3 linked regions of the Canis lupus familiaris genome follow. The protein of the gene in region 1 interacts with the protein of each later gene in a biochemical or structural test. Links are inferred from orthologs where the notes say so. Each region holds a gene or a part of one and is shown on either strand. Other genes may lie near its edges.

The links. The genes of interacting proteins can lie anywhere in the genome.
Region 2: the proteins of CRHR1 (region 1) and MPDZ form a complex in vitro, tested with the Homo sapiens proteins (2 studies listed by BioGRID and IntAct, with this or other methods). The link is inferred for Canis lupus familiaris from reciprocal best matches to the Homo sapiens genes CRHR1 and MPDZ.
Region 3: the proteins of CRHR1 (region 1) and DLG4 form a complex in vitro, tested with the Homo sapiens proteins (2 studies listed by BioGRID and IntAct, with this or other methods). The link is inferred for Canis lupus familiaris from reciprocal best matches to the Homo sapiens genes CRHR1 and DLG4.

What each region holds. Positions count from the first base shown.
Region 1 is NC_049230.1:17,153,034-17,157,103, reverse strand, and holds part of CRHR1 (corticotropin-releasing factor receptor 1), read right to left. Parts: intron 4,063-4,070; coding exon 4,021-4,062; intron 3,413-4,020; coding exon 3,272-3,412; 3' UTR 1-3,271.
Region 2 is NC_049232.1:33,907,599-33,912,364, reverse strand, and holds the start of MPDZ (multiple PDZ domain protein), read left to right. Parts: upstream 1-1,703; 5' UTR 1,704-1,866; intron 1,867-4,766. UniProt on the Homo sapiens protein: Member of the NMDAR signaling complex that may play a role in control of AMPAR potentiation and synaptic plasticity in excitatory synapses. Promotes clustering of HT2RC at the cell surface.
Region 3 is NC_049226.1:32,392,802-32,397,339, reverse strand, and holds the start of DLG4 (disks large homolog 4), read left to right. Parts: upstream 1-1,475; 5' UTR 1,476-1,601; coding exon 1,602-1,770; intron 1,771-2,445; exon of another isoform or gene 2,446-2,541; coding exon 2,542-2,640; intron 2,641-2,841; coding exon 2,842-2,882; intron 2,883-3,764; exon of another isoform or gene 3,765-3,921; coding exon of another isoform or gene 3,922-3,951; intron 3,952-4,538. Other genes in the region: ACADVL (very long-chain specific acyl-CoA dehydrogenase, mitochondrial), read right to left, coding at 157-291, 402-466, 548-620, 709-774, 1,047-1,122, 1,199-1,260. UniProt on the Homo sapiens protein: Postsynaptic scaffolding protein that plays a critical role in synaptogenesis and synaptic plasticity by providing a platform for the postsynaptic clustering of crucial synaptic proteins.

The DNA of each region.
Region 1 (4,070 bases):
GATCCCTGCATGTGGAGCCAGAGGACCTTTGATCTCAGAGGAATTACCAGGCCTCAGTGTCTTTGGCTGTAGAATGGGAAGGTTCTGCCTCCTTGAGTTACTTGAGGATTAGATGATATCATAAAGGATTATACAGATTGCAAAGCAGTTTACAAATGCCCACAATTAAGGTGTTATTACCTGGATTCTAAAACCTCCCTGCCTCCTTAGCACATGTTTTCCCACATCTGGCTCCCTCCCCTGCCCTATCCTAGGGCATCTGACCCAGCAGCAGCAGGAGGACTGAGGAGGCCTGAAGGGGATGCTGAGGACCCCAGGGCAGGGGCCTGTCATCACACTTAGAGGTGGAGGAGCCCGAAATGGAAACCACACAGTGGGGATTTTCCTCCCCTGGGGATCTGTGCCCATGAAGGAGGGTCCCAAGGAGAAACGGGCTCGGATGGGGTACTCCAGGGGACTGTGGCCTCCAGGCTTGAGGGAGCGGTCTGTCCTGCAGTGACCCCCTCCCCCTGTGGTTGCCAGGCCTCTGCCCCAGCACAGTGGCATGTGTATCCATCCCTTATACCCTCAGGCTGAACCTCAGGGAACAATGACCCTCAGAAACCCCATCTGGGGGCCTGCCTTCACCCTGCTTCCTGAGCCCTGGGCTGTGACAGGCTTATACCCTGGGCACCTGCCCTCCCCCACCCCCGCAGAGGAGTTACAGTTCTCTGGGGCCCAGATGTTCCTGAAGCAGCCCCTCCTCCCTTACAGTCTCTGAATGGGAGGTGTCCTGAGGCTCATCTGGACCAGCCCCTGCCTGCCCCCCACTTCCCCCAGGAGCTCCTCTGATGACTGTCAGCCCCGTCCTGGAGGTGTCCTCTGATGGCTTTCAAGACCCGGCAGCTCCAGGCTTTGCAGTTGGCTGCTGGCACTCATCTCGGGGGGCTACTCATCTCCCCGCCTTGTGCTGGGCCTGGCAGTTTCGAATGCACAGTAGGTGCTTGGAAGGAGGCACAAGCAGAAGGGACACTGCCTCAGCTTGCCCCCCACCCAGGACCTCTTGTCCAAGCAACCTCCTTACAATGTCCTCTCCTCCTCCTCCCAGGCTGCTCTGTCCTTGGGGAGCCCTGTCCCCACAGCCCAACTCGTACAGGAGAAGCCTTGCTTTCTCACTTCTTCACTGGGCGAATAACAGTTGAGAAAGATGCCTCAATTGTGGCCCGTTTGAGATTCCTCAGGCACTTCTGGTCCCTTCCTGGGGCCATCAGCCTGTCTCTGTCCTGGTGCCTCTGGTCCCCTCCCCGAGTCCCTGGTCCCTGTGTGCCAGGGTGGAGTTTCCACGTCCCACCCCCTCTCCTGCCCTCAGGCTGCCTCCCACCACACCCTGCTGTGCCTGTGCACGCTCCCTCAGTGTGTATCTCTCTCTCTGTGTCTCTGTTGTCATGTGGCCCCTGTGCTCCCTACCCCCGGGGGCAGCCTTCCTCCCCTGTGGCCCCTCAGGTGGGCTGAAGGCGGGGATGCCCCCTCGGGCTTCTGCAGTAGGATTATGCTCCAGCTGCCCCTAGTAGTGGCTGTGGTGTGGGCACCCCTGCTCCGGCCGCCTCCCTGGCCTGGCCTCCCGCCCCCACCCGCTCCCCGTGCTCCCCTTCCCTACTTGGTTCTGGAAACCTTGTCTCTGGCTCTGTTTCTGGGGCTCTCAAGCTGAGACAGTGTCAAGGCCTCCTTAACTCTACTTCCTGCTTCCAGCTTGGCCCTTCCCTTGGGGCTGGGAGACATTCCTGCCTGGTCCCATTGCCACACCTTGGCTAGAGCTGTCGCCATGGGCCCTGACCCCTCTAGTGTCCTTGGCCAGCACTGCTCACCTGTGGCCCTTCTCTCCCTATGACTCATCCCTTTTAAGAGCCGTCCTTGTCAGCTGCGTCCGCAGGCCCATGCCCCCAGTGGCTCACCTAGCACCCCATCGGGATGGGTGTGAATGGTGTCAGGTTTCCCAGCCACAGGCTGGCTGGCCCCAGACTGAAAAGTGGCCTCCATTTCTCTGCTGTGCCCTTCCCACCCAACCCCGCATAGTCCAGACCTTCACAGATGCTGGTTGAAAAGATAAATATTATTATTTACAGCAGCCACCCCCTCACAGCTGACACCTTATCTCCCAAGGCCTGGCTCCAGTGGCCCAGTACTCTGGACACAGGAGGGTCCAGTGGGGGCTGCTGATTGCCCCGAGAACCAGTTGTCTTGCTCCAGGACACTCAGGCAGAGAGGATCCAAGTCCCCTGCCCCTTCTATCTTTGCTTAGCTAATCATGCTGCTCCAGAGGTCATCCAGGCACCAGAAACCCCCTGTACCCAGTAGAGAGGCTGCCCCAGATGCCAGACCACTGACACCAGCAGGCAGGATGGCCCAGAGCATTCTCTGTTCTCTAAAAGGGAGACTGGCTTTGGCTGGGGCACACCCTGGTTCTTGCTCACAGGACACTCCATCTCCTTCCAACCCCCACTTCCCACACAGGGGGAGACACCAGGGGCAGGAGGTGACACATCAGGGTGTGGGTATTGTGGGTGGTTAAGGACCGGGGCGGGGGGCTGAGTGGCCTGCAGGGCATAAAGGTCCAAGGGTACAAGGCAGCGAGACAGGGCATTTCTGATGGCAGTGCCACAGTGCCAGATGAAATTATGGTGGCTTGGGAGGATTTCTTGTGGTGTGGCCTACTGTCTGATGATGTCACCTGGTTTCTAATGACATGGCCAGGGCTTTCTGGTGACCTGGCTTTGGTTCCCACTGGTATTAGAAGGCATTGCCAACACCCAGAGGCATCATCACGGTGGTTGGGATGCTGTCACAGGAGTTTCCCATGATGCTCCTAGGGCAGCAATTGGTGCCTTGCAGTTGCTGAGGACAGGCCCCAGGTCTCCAGGAGGCTGGCCATCTTGTGCTCTGGGAGAAGACGCCTCTTGGAAGGACCTCTGTGCTGCCTTGGATTTTCTGGCTGGCCATCTCCACTCCATTCTCATTCCATCTCCGGGGAGGACTTGGGGCACAAGGGAGCCAGAGGCCCTGGGCCCAGCCCAATCCTATAGGTTATTTCCCATTCATCCCATGGCCCAGACTATGGCTGCTCTCATAGGCCTAGAACTCCTGCTCATTCCGGGGCCGGGGGGGTGGGGTGGGGCCCACGCTGTCAGTGCCAGATGCTTCTGGGGATACAGATTGTGAGAAGGATTTGGTCCCCTCCATAGATAGGGCAGCTGGCCAAGCCTGGAGACCATCTTCCGCTCCGTGGCCCTCCAGCTCAGACTGCCGTGGACTGCTTGATACTGTGGAAGCTGACACGGGTGGGAGAGGTGGGGATGGACATGGCGCGGGCCACGCGGGCACGGATCGAGTGCTTGTCCTGCCATCGATGCCACCTCTTCCGGATGGCAGAGCGGACCTGTGGGCACAGAGCAGAGCATGGTGTCTGAGCCTGGATCTCAGGACTCCCTTCCATCCCCTAGGGCTGCCACAAGCAGCAGTACACGTGAGCAGTCTGCAGGCGTGCAGTACGCAGGTGTGAAACGCAAAGGGGGCCACACAGGAGGAGGTGCCATGCATGTCATCAACATTATTTGCCTATTTGTTAGGATGATTTTTGCAAGTATTCTGAGAAGAGAAGACTTTTTCCCATCCACACAGAGGCACCGATGGCCTTTGCCACAAAGAATTCCTACCTTCAGCACATATGCATGCCCTGCCCAAGGGCTTAGCCCTTCCTGTTTTCAACAAGCATTTTCACAGACTCATCGATGGGACTGAAGCCCTGACTTCTGACTCCCTGTGCCAACTGCCTATGGGAGCAAAGCAGTGGGCTTGCCACTATAGGAGCAGTGTGGGCAGGTGTCAGGGGCCCTCCTGGGGCTCCTGGCTGCATCCTCATTAGGGACCTGGGGGCAGGGAGGAGGAGCTGGCATGTGGAGGGCAGGAGGAGGCTATAGACAATCTCAGGTCCCAGAAGTCCCCCACCCCCCACCATCCTGAGCTCTGGGGCCCCGGCATCCTTACCTCACTGTTGAGGAAACAGTAGAATACAGACACAAAGAAACCCTGGGGTG
Region 2 (4,766 bases), on another chromosome or scaffold:
CTGCCTGCTTTCCTCTGTCTCTCTCAATGGAGAGAGTTGAGAGCGCTGACTGAAAGGTTACCCAAGACACAGATGTGTTGAAGATACAAGGGATGAGTTTTCCCTTCATCCTAACTTCACCTTCATTTTCAAAGGACCCAGAGAAGATGAATATCCACAGATGCTAAAGAAATCTAGTCAGTGTTTTTATTTCCCTAGCGGGCAAATCTACACCGATGCCTACGTCTGAGAAAGCACAACGGGTCTCAGGCTGGGGGCACTCTCTCCACCCAAGGCATTTTGGCTTTTTTGCTCCCAGTCATTTGCAGGCAACTGATCTATTTTGAAGCCTTCTGAAAATATTCATTTAAAGCTCAACTCAGTTTCCCTCTGGGGCCTCGTATGTTTTGAAACCGTATTTCCCCTTAAATATTTGGTGAATATTTGAAAAATAGAATTGACTTTTTTTTCGTAGACCAAAAAATAAAAAAAATTTACAAGTCTGCTAAAGAAATCAGAACTTTCAATTCGGGATATTAAAAGAAATTCTTCTAAACATTTTAAGTTAGACTTCTGAGTATCCTTTAATGTATGTTCTTTTTTTGTTGTTGTTGTTACAGATTTTGTTTATTTATTCATGAGACACACACACACACACACACACACACACACACACACACACACACACACAGAGAGAGAGAGAAGCAGAGACACAGGCAGAGGGAGAAGCAGGCTCCACGCAGGGAGCCTGATGCGGACTCGATCCCAGGACCCCAGGATCAACGCCCTGAGCCGAAGGCAGGCACTAAACCGCTCAGCCACCCATATTCTAATATTAGATGTCCGTATTGAGAAAGGAAGGGATTTTCTTCTGCAGAAAAGATTCCTGGGGCTCAGGAATTGAAGGTATCAGAAACACAACCTTAAGCGGCACAAAATAGAGATGAATATGTCTTTCCTCGCACCATGCAATTCTGAACCCTTCTTTTATGTATATTGTTTCTGTCTTTTAATTGGATATGTCTAAGCAGCACAGTAACGTTCTAAAAGTTACTTAGAATGCGAGGTCATTAGTTCCACTCCCCATGCCTCATCGTTAAAGCGCTTCTTCTCATCACCATCCCATAACCGCTTAAATAAGCTACCCATACAGACGGCATCCACAAGGCAGTCCACATAATGAAATTTTAAGTCCTCAAAACCAGAAATAGGGGTTACCAGTTCCCACAGGTTGCCAGACTTAGGAACATAAGAGACCCCAGTTAAATTCGAATTTCAGATAAACAAGGAGCATTTCTTTTAGTGTAAGTACGTCCCAAGCATCCCAGGGGCCACGTCTGGCCAACATAATCACCGCTGCTTCCTGGGCAGTCGGGTCGACCGGGCGCCCCGCGTGCCCCCCCAGCCCCCCCCAGCCCCACCCGGGCGAGGTCCCAGAGCCCGCGCCCCGCACCCCAGGCCGAGCGCCCGCCGCGCAGGTTTAAAACCCAGGACCCGGGGCTGGGCCGCGCCCCCTGATTGGCCGAGGCGCGCCCGCCGCCCGCCGGCCGCAGGCGTCACGCAGCCCCGGCAGCCCGGGCCCCGCCGCCTCCTCCGCGGCAGCCCGGTCGGCGCAAGTGCGGCGCGCGGGGGAGGGGGCGCGGCGGAGCGGAGGCTGGCGTCGGGCCGCCGCCGGCCGGGCGGGCGGGATTAAGTTTCCCGGCGGCGCGCGAGTGTCGGTGCGCGTCTACCCCGAAGCTCCTCGCCGGGCCGTTACTCAGCGGAGAAGAGGGCGAGCGGGGACAGAGGCGCGGCCGCCGAGGCCCCGGCTCCCCGGCTCCCCGGCTCCCCGGCCCTCCGGCCCTCCTCCCCTGTGCGCCCCCGCCCGGGGCGGCCGCCGCCAGCCGGGTAAGCGGCGCCGGGGCCCGGGCCGGGAGGCGGGGAGGCCGGGCGCGCCCCCGAGCTCTGCGCGCGCCGGCCGGGAGGTGCGCGGGCGCCGGTCCGGGGCGCGGGGCGCGGGGCGCGGGCGCGGGCGCGGGCGCGGGGCTCGGCGGGCGGGGTGCGTGCGCCCCACCCCGCGCGGACGGGCGGCCCGGCTCTAGCAGGATGGGGGCTGGAAGTTTCCTTGGCTACTTGCTGGCCCCCGAGCTCCAGCCCCAGTCCGGGCAGCCCCCCAGCCCCCCAGCCCCCCCGCCTTTGCCCTTGCTGACTCTAAATGCTTTAAAAGTTTTTTTTTTTTTTTTTTTTTCTTTTTTTCTTTTTCTTCGCCTGGAGGGGCACGGGGATGGTGCCAGAAGGGGGAACCGCGGCCCAGGCCCAGGAGCCTGTTGCTCGCCGCCGGCGTGGCCGCGCCCCGGGCCGGACGCCCGCTCCGGGGTGACGCGGTGCGGGGCGCGTAGCGGGTGCGGAGAGAGCCCCCCCCCGCCCCCGCCCCCCGCCCCCCGCAGACCGGCGTCTCCGGCCCTGGCCGCCGGCCCCGAGCGCGCCGCTGATTGATGCCCGCCCCCGTCCCCCGCGGCGCCCGTGCCCTTTCATCCCCTGCCCCCCGCGGGGGGAGCTTGCGCTCTCGCCCCCCGCTTCGGCCGCCCCGCGCCCACGGGCCGCCTTTGTCTGCGATTCGCAGCCGGGGGTGCCGGATGTGCCTCGGGGAGCGCGGTTCCCAGACGCTTTGTGTCCTGGGAGTTGTGTGCGTGTGTGTCGGGGGTGGTGATGGTGTAAATTTTTGCTTGCGTTCTTTGCAGAGGCACAAAGGCCGGGCTATTCTTTCCAGCAGATCACATGGAAATGCAGGCTGGGACTGCCTCGCGTAGGAGGGGCCCCGCGACGGCGGGGGGTGGGGGGCGGGGGGGCGCTGCGCCGCGGCCGGGGGCGAGGCGGGGGCGGGGGCGGGGGGACGCCAGCTGGGCGGGTGGGGCTTGCGGAGCCTGCTGGGCTGGCGCGGACCCCGGACCCCGGACCCCGAGCGTGGGCGCTGCGTGTGGTGCGGGGAGGGTGCGGTGGCAGCTAGTGCTGCTTCGGTAGCATCAGACGAGAGGACCGTGACTTCAGCGTAGGTCGATACTCTCCATGTTCATTGGATGTCCAGAGGGGAAGACTCAGCAAAGTGACTAGACGCTGTCACCCAGCCTTGGTGGACAGCTGTGCTGTAAACATCCCTCTGTGTTTCCCTAGGCATTTCTTCTCATTTAGGTTGCCTTTTACAAAAACGAAACAAAACAAGAAACCAAAAAACCCCGTGATCTGAAAAACCAACGAGGTGATGGTTTGGGGCTTGGGAGTGTTTACACGCTGACTTTAGTATGGGTGACTACAATGAACTTTTTTTAAGGGTCACATGATCTATATTTGGTATATACTTGAGCGCCTGATAGAATTTAGGTTAAAAAAATGCATTTAAGAAAAACAAAACTTCCCGTTCCTAGGTTTGAGCTATTAATATAACGTAAAGCTCTGGATGGATGCTCTGGTGCCTTTGCCTGAAGGAGGAGCTAAGAGGGTTTAGAGGGTGGTGGGGATAATCTTGTCTGGGCTGCCCAGATTTCCTGCTAGCTAATGAGCTAGTTTACAAACGTGGTTTTTTTTCTAGATTGAGCTATATCCTCGCTCAGTTCATATTAGGGTCTTTTATTTAAAAAAAAAAAAAGATTTTATTTATTTATTCATGAGAGACGCCCAGAGATGCAGAGACATAGGCAGAGGGAGAAGCAAGCATCCTGCAGGGAGCCCGATGTGAGACTCCATCCCGGGACCCCAGGATCAGGCCGTGAGCCAAAGGCAGGCGCTAAACCAATGAACCACCCAGGTGCCACCATGTTAGGGTCTTTTAAAACGGAGGTCTCTAAAGTTAATGGGTCATAGGCCAAGTTGGCCAGCAGCAGCCTGTTTTCCCCTAAAGCGTAGGAGTTAGAAGTGGTTTGTGCAATTTTATATGGCTCAAAAAATCAAAAGAATATTATATCATGGCATGTGAAAATCATATGAAAATCAAATCTCAGTGTGCTGTTATAAGTAGAGTTTTATTGGCACACAGCCACACTCATTAGTATTGTGTGTGGTGGATTCTTACTGTCTCTGGCTCCTTTCACAGCAGCAGTGGGAGAGTTGAGTAGTTGCATAGTTGAGACACAGATACATAGCCTTCAAAGTATGAAAGAAAGTATGTTGCCTTTCTCTTATTCTTTACAGAAAAAATCGCCAACCTAGAGCAGGCTTTAAAAGAATTGCTTAAATACTTCCTCGTGTGATGGATGCATTGCTTAATTTCATTGCCTTTAACTGTTTCTGGTGTCCTCTGAAGTGGCTGACTTTTCCCAACTAGGTAGTCAGATTAAGTGAATGTATTGGATTTTCACATTTCCAAGTTTCACTCTCAGAAAGATTCTTAACCTTTTGATTCTTTTTCTTTTTTGTCAGAATCTAGGATAAAGTGAGTTTTCTGATTGGCAGAAATTATGTGTGTAGTTACTCTAATATAGATAGCCCAATTTCAGGGTGTTCTTCGCTGAGTTCTAGCGGCTTCTTGCTACTGTGCTACCTGAGCAGGTTTTGAGAATCACAGTTTTGTTCATTTAGGTGGAGAGCAGCTGGGGTTAGAGGATGTCAGGAATACGTTTTTGCAGGGAAGTTACCACTTTAGGCAAAGCTAGTTTGTGAGGGAGCTTGACTCTTCAACAATCCTCTTCCCTAAACCTTTGCTAAAACAAAAAAAAATGTTTATTCTCAACATATTACTAAGAGATCAATCATATGTGTACATGCGTATAATATGCATTCTTTTCATTTCATTGGTATTGGTATTTCATTTCTTC
Region 3 (4,538 bases), on another chromosome or scaffold:
TGTTTTTTGTTTTGAAAGATGCAAATATTGGCACAGTCAACATCACACAGGCCCCCCCTTAACTGACAAACCTAAACCCTAGGTCACATGAGGAAGGCGCTTAATCAGCAATGTTGGAATAGCCTGCGATGCTGGCAGTGACCAGGGCTCCCTCACCTGGGTGTTACAGAGGCCCACACCACCCAGCTCGCTGGGTACTTGCAGACCAAAGGCCCCCAGCTCCTTGAGGCCTTGCAGTGTGGTCTCCTCCACCTTCTCCAACGTGTCATTCTTGGCAGGATCGTTCACTTCCTGGAGAAGGCACAGGATGTCGCATCCAGGTTCCTTTCTGGCTGCTGAACACCTCTGCCATCCCATCAGGGACCAAAGCCCTCTGTTCCCCCACCCCAGTCCTTCCTCACCTCAAAGAAACGGGACACAGGCCCCACCAGTTCTTTGAGAAACTGGGTCTGCTCCTCACTGAGTACTGTGGGGGAGAAGGACAGGCTGGTCAGGTCACCGGGGAAGTGGAGAGGCCCTGCCCTGCCCCGCCCCGACGACTACTTACCAGATGGGTAAGGGAACACCTGATCGGTGGTGAGCTGACCCTTGAACATCCCCGCAGCAAAGGACTTGGATTCCTGCTCAGGGAGAAGGGGGTTTCAGCGAGCTGTCTGCTGCAGTGGGTGAGCCCCTGGCCTAGGTCCTCCCGGTATGGAGGCCACGTACCGCCTTGGCCTGCTTCTCTCTGGTCGGAGCCTCAGAGGAGTGGGAATCTGACTTCTCCAGAACCGCCTGGGGAAAGGGACAGTTAGCGAGGCCCGGTAAGGGACTCCCGAGGAGCTGGAGACCACGGGAAGCGCTGGGTGCGGGCGGAGGCGGACGCAGCGACCTTTCCCCTACTTCCATCGTCAGGGCACCCTGGCCTGCCCTTTCCCCTACTTTCGGCGCTACCGCGGGCGCCAGGTGTCCGGGACGGAGAGGGAGACCCCTGCCGGCGGCGGGGAAGGGGGAGCCGAGGCGGACTCCGCCTCCCGCTCTGCGCGCCCCAGGCCGCCGTCACTCACCTGAGCGGCCCCACTGGCATAGGGTCGGCAGGCCGGACCGGGCAGGGGCTGCCCCAGGAGCGCGCTGGGCCGCGAGCTGTGGGGAGCGGGGGCTCAGTCCGGGTCCCCGGTCCCGCTGCCACCCCGGCCCTGCCCTCCTGTCCGACTCGCACCTTCCGACCCCCAGCCTCCGCAGCTGCCGCCCCACGCTCGGGGCCATCCGTGCCGCCTGCATCTCCCAACCACTCCGGTCGCCGCGGTCCTGAGCGCAGATCTAGCGCCGTCCACCCGTCTGCCAAAGACTGGCTGCCCTGGTCCGGTCTTGACTCATCGTCCACAATGCACCGGGGGGGCTGGGCTTCCGGCCGCCAGCGCATGCTGGGAGATGTAGTTCCGGGGCGGGGCCTCCCCCACCCCGCCCCTGCATTCTGGTTAACGTAGGGCTATCTCCAGACGTTTCCGTCTCTCCCAAACGCCTTCGTCCCACCCGGCCCAGCTCGAGTGTAGCCCTCGGAAGGGGCGATGGGATAGGCTGGGGTGGAAGGAGGAGCAGCTCAGGCTTTTGCAGCCGGAGGGATGGAGGGTGGGCCAACAGGAGGACTTCCCCGGTGGAGTTGGAAGGGAGAGGTGGGAGAAAAAAAATGTAAGACGGCGGAAGCAGGGGCAGATGACTCTATGGAGTCCCTTGTGAAACCCATCTCCATCAACACGAGAGGGAGGGACATGGTGGCGTGGGGCGGCCCAGGTATATTCTCCTGAGACCTGAGGTGTCACTAACTTTAGAAACACCTGAATTCTCACCGTAGGGCCCTCCCCTCCCTTCCCCTCTGCAAATTCACCGCCTCCCCATTGGGGCGCTGGAGTCTCTGCCCTTGTTTCCTCCTGAGACTGTGTGACATCCTGGACTCTTCCCAGGGGGAGTGGAACTGTAGGGATTCTTCTGTCGCCCACTCTCACCACACACACCTAGCTCTGGGTCAAGGAGTCCCAGGTCATGTATAGGTCATGTATACCCCTGCCCTGCTGACACACCCAGTGGGGAGAGGCCTGGGCTGGGGCTGCAGGAGCCTCCTTGGGGACACCCCTCCACCCCCACCCCCGTCCCCAGTGCCCAGTCCCTCTGGAAAGTGCAGCAAACTCACCCCTGGCTTTGGGAAGAGAGACCATTGTGCCAGGCGACCCAGGGGGTTAGGACAGGACTGCCCACTTCGGTGGCTAAAGGCTAAAGGCTGGAACCTGGTGGGGAGGCAGCTCAGCTCCAACCCTGGGGATTAGGGAGATTAAAATCAGAGAAGAGAGATGTCCGAGAGACCCAGAGGTGAAACTGGAGAGTCCCATGGAGGAAAGGCCTGGGGGCGGAGCCGAGTGGGGCTGGGACTTGAGGACCCTCCTGCTGATCCTTCCCCACCCCACTTAAGCCCAGGGAGAGGGGACAGGCTAGGGGAGGTGAGTGAGCCGCGCCTTGGTCCATGGGTCTCTTCCCCATCCCATTCCTCCCTCGCTTGCATTTCACCAGCTCCCCGGTCAGCCCTCTGGCTCCTGGCCCCCCCACTGTTGCGATGGGCGCCCCCTCTCTTGGCTGTCCTGCACAGTGACCTCTTCCAGGCCCTGCTGGGTGAGTAGCCCTGATTCTCTGGGGACGCTGGGGTGCGAAGGGCTGGCCTGGGCCTGCCAGGGCAGTGAACACACTTGGGGGACTGTCCGGTTGGCAGCCAGGAGGCCCTAAGGTGCCAGCAGCAGTCAGGGCAGGGGTGGGGGCAGGGGAGCCCCCCCAGGTGGGGTGGGGGAGGGTAACTCAGCTGTATTCTGGTGACAGACATCCTGGACTATTATGAGGCTTCCATCTCAGAGAGCCAGGTAAGGGGGTGAGGTGGGGCGCCTCCCCAGAGGGGCAGACAGGGCAGGGGCCGAGCTGCCGCCCCACCCTTGGGGGCCTTGAAGACAGACTTCTGAGCCCGGGGTGCAGAGAATCCCAGACTCCACGGTCCTGTTGGTCCCTTTCCCCTTCTGCTTCCCCGCCCCCCTCCTCCCTTGGCCCCAATTTCGGGCATAAGGAGTCCAGCACAGAATTACTTCTCATCCTTCCTCCTGTGCAGCCTGAGGGAGAGCTGCCCCCCCACCGGACTCCCCCCTGCCTGCCCCCCCAGACCCCCCCTCCCGCCAGCCAGCACTGCAACTAGCATGGGTGCTGCCAGCCCCACAGCGGGTGCTTCCTCTCCTGAGACCCAGGAGGCCTCCTGATCTCTGGCGCTGGTGCCTGGCCAGGCCTCCATCTTTGCCTTGGGGCCTGTCTGCCTCCGCTCTGCTCTCCTCTCCCATTATCCGGGTTCCTGCCAGCACTGAAGCAGTTAACTCTGCCAAGGCACCCCCCCATCCTCGCTCCTCGCTCCCTCCCTCCCTCCCCCTGCTTCCTCTCTCCTCCTCTCTCCCCTTCCCTCCTCGGCTCCACGGCTCCCTCGGCCGCTGCCGCCTCCAACCCCCCCACCCCACTCCCCCGCCGCGGCCCTAGCCCCTGGCCGGCAGGCAAGACCCCCCCCCTACCCCGGGGCTCCCTGAAATCCAGTTCCCCTCCCCCACCCAGCTCATGCCCCAGCCCCCGAACTCCGGGGCTGCCAGCCCCCGGTGCCCCCGCCCCTCCTGAGAATCGGGGTGTGCTCCCCAGGCCCCCTCCCCTCCACTGGGGACTCCCTTCTAGGGCCCCCTTCCCCTCCCTCCCACGCACCCCTCCCCTTCCCTTCTCCAACCCCCTCTTTCCCCTCTCACCCCTCCCCCCATCCTGGCCCCCCCTGCAAAAGTGGGGTGCGGAGGGGGGAGGGGTGAGAACCCACAGAGGGGAGGAACGAAACTCCGATGAAGTCAGAGCCCCTTACCCGCCGCCGCGGCCAGCCCCCCCAACATGGACTGTCTCTGTATAGTGACAACCAAGGTAAGCACGATAGGGGGGCTCTCAACTGGGGGGAGGGTATGAGTTTGTGGGGAGGGGTTAGGCAGGCCTGATCTGGGGCTGGGGGCTGGGAGTGTACTGGGGGGTCATGATTTACTTTGGGGGTTCACATTTGAGATCATGCTAGGTTTGGCCACAGGTGCCCCCTGGAGTGATCTCTTTGTACCTGTAGAGAAATGGAAAATTTGGGCTGTTTTGTGGTTTGGGGGGGCTGATGGGTTTTGGGGTTCACCAATGATGTTTGAGGGAGACTTATTTAAGGAGAAGCCTGGCTCACATGGGAGTCCTGCTCTTGTGCATTAGAAGGTGGACTGTGTGAGGGGGGGTTCTCTTCCCTCCTGAGGGACAAACTGGCTTCTGGGTGTCTCGTCCAATTTCAGGGGGCTCTTGGCATGGGGGTAGACGGTTATTGGCTGTGAGTGCCTGACTGGTCTGGGGGTGTCAGCTGGCAGAGGAGGGGTGGGCCTTCAACCTATAGAGCAAGCGTCTTGTGGTGGATACATTTGGGGGTACGCTCAATTACGGGGAACTGGGAATTCAGGGTTTGGTCCTATAGAGCGGGATAGTTG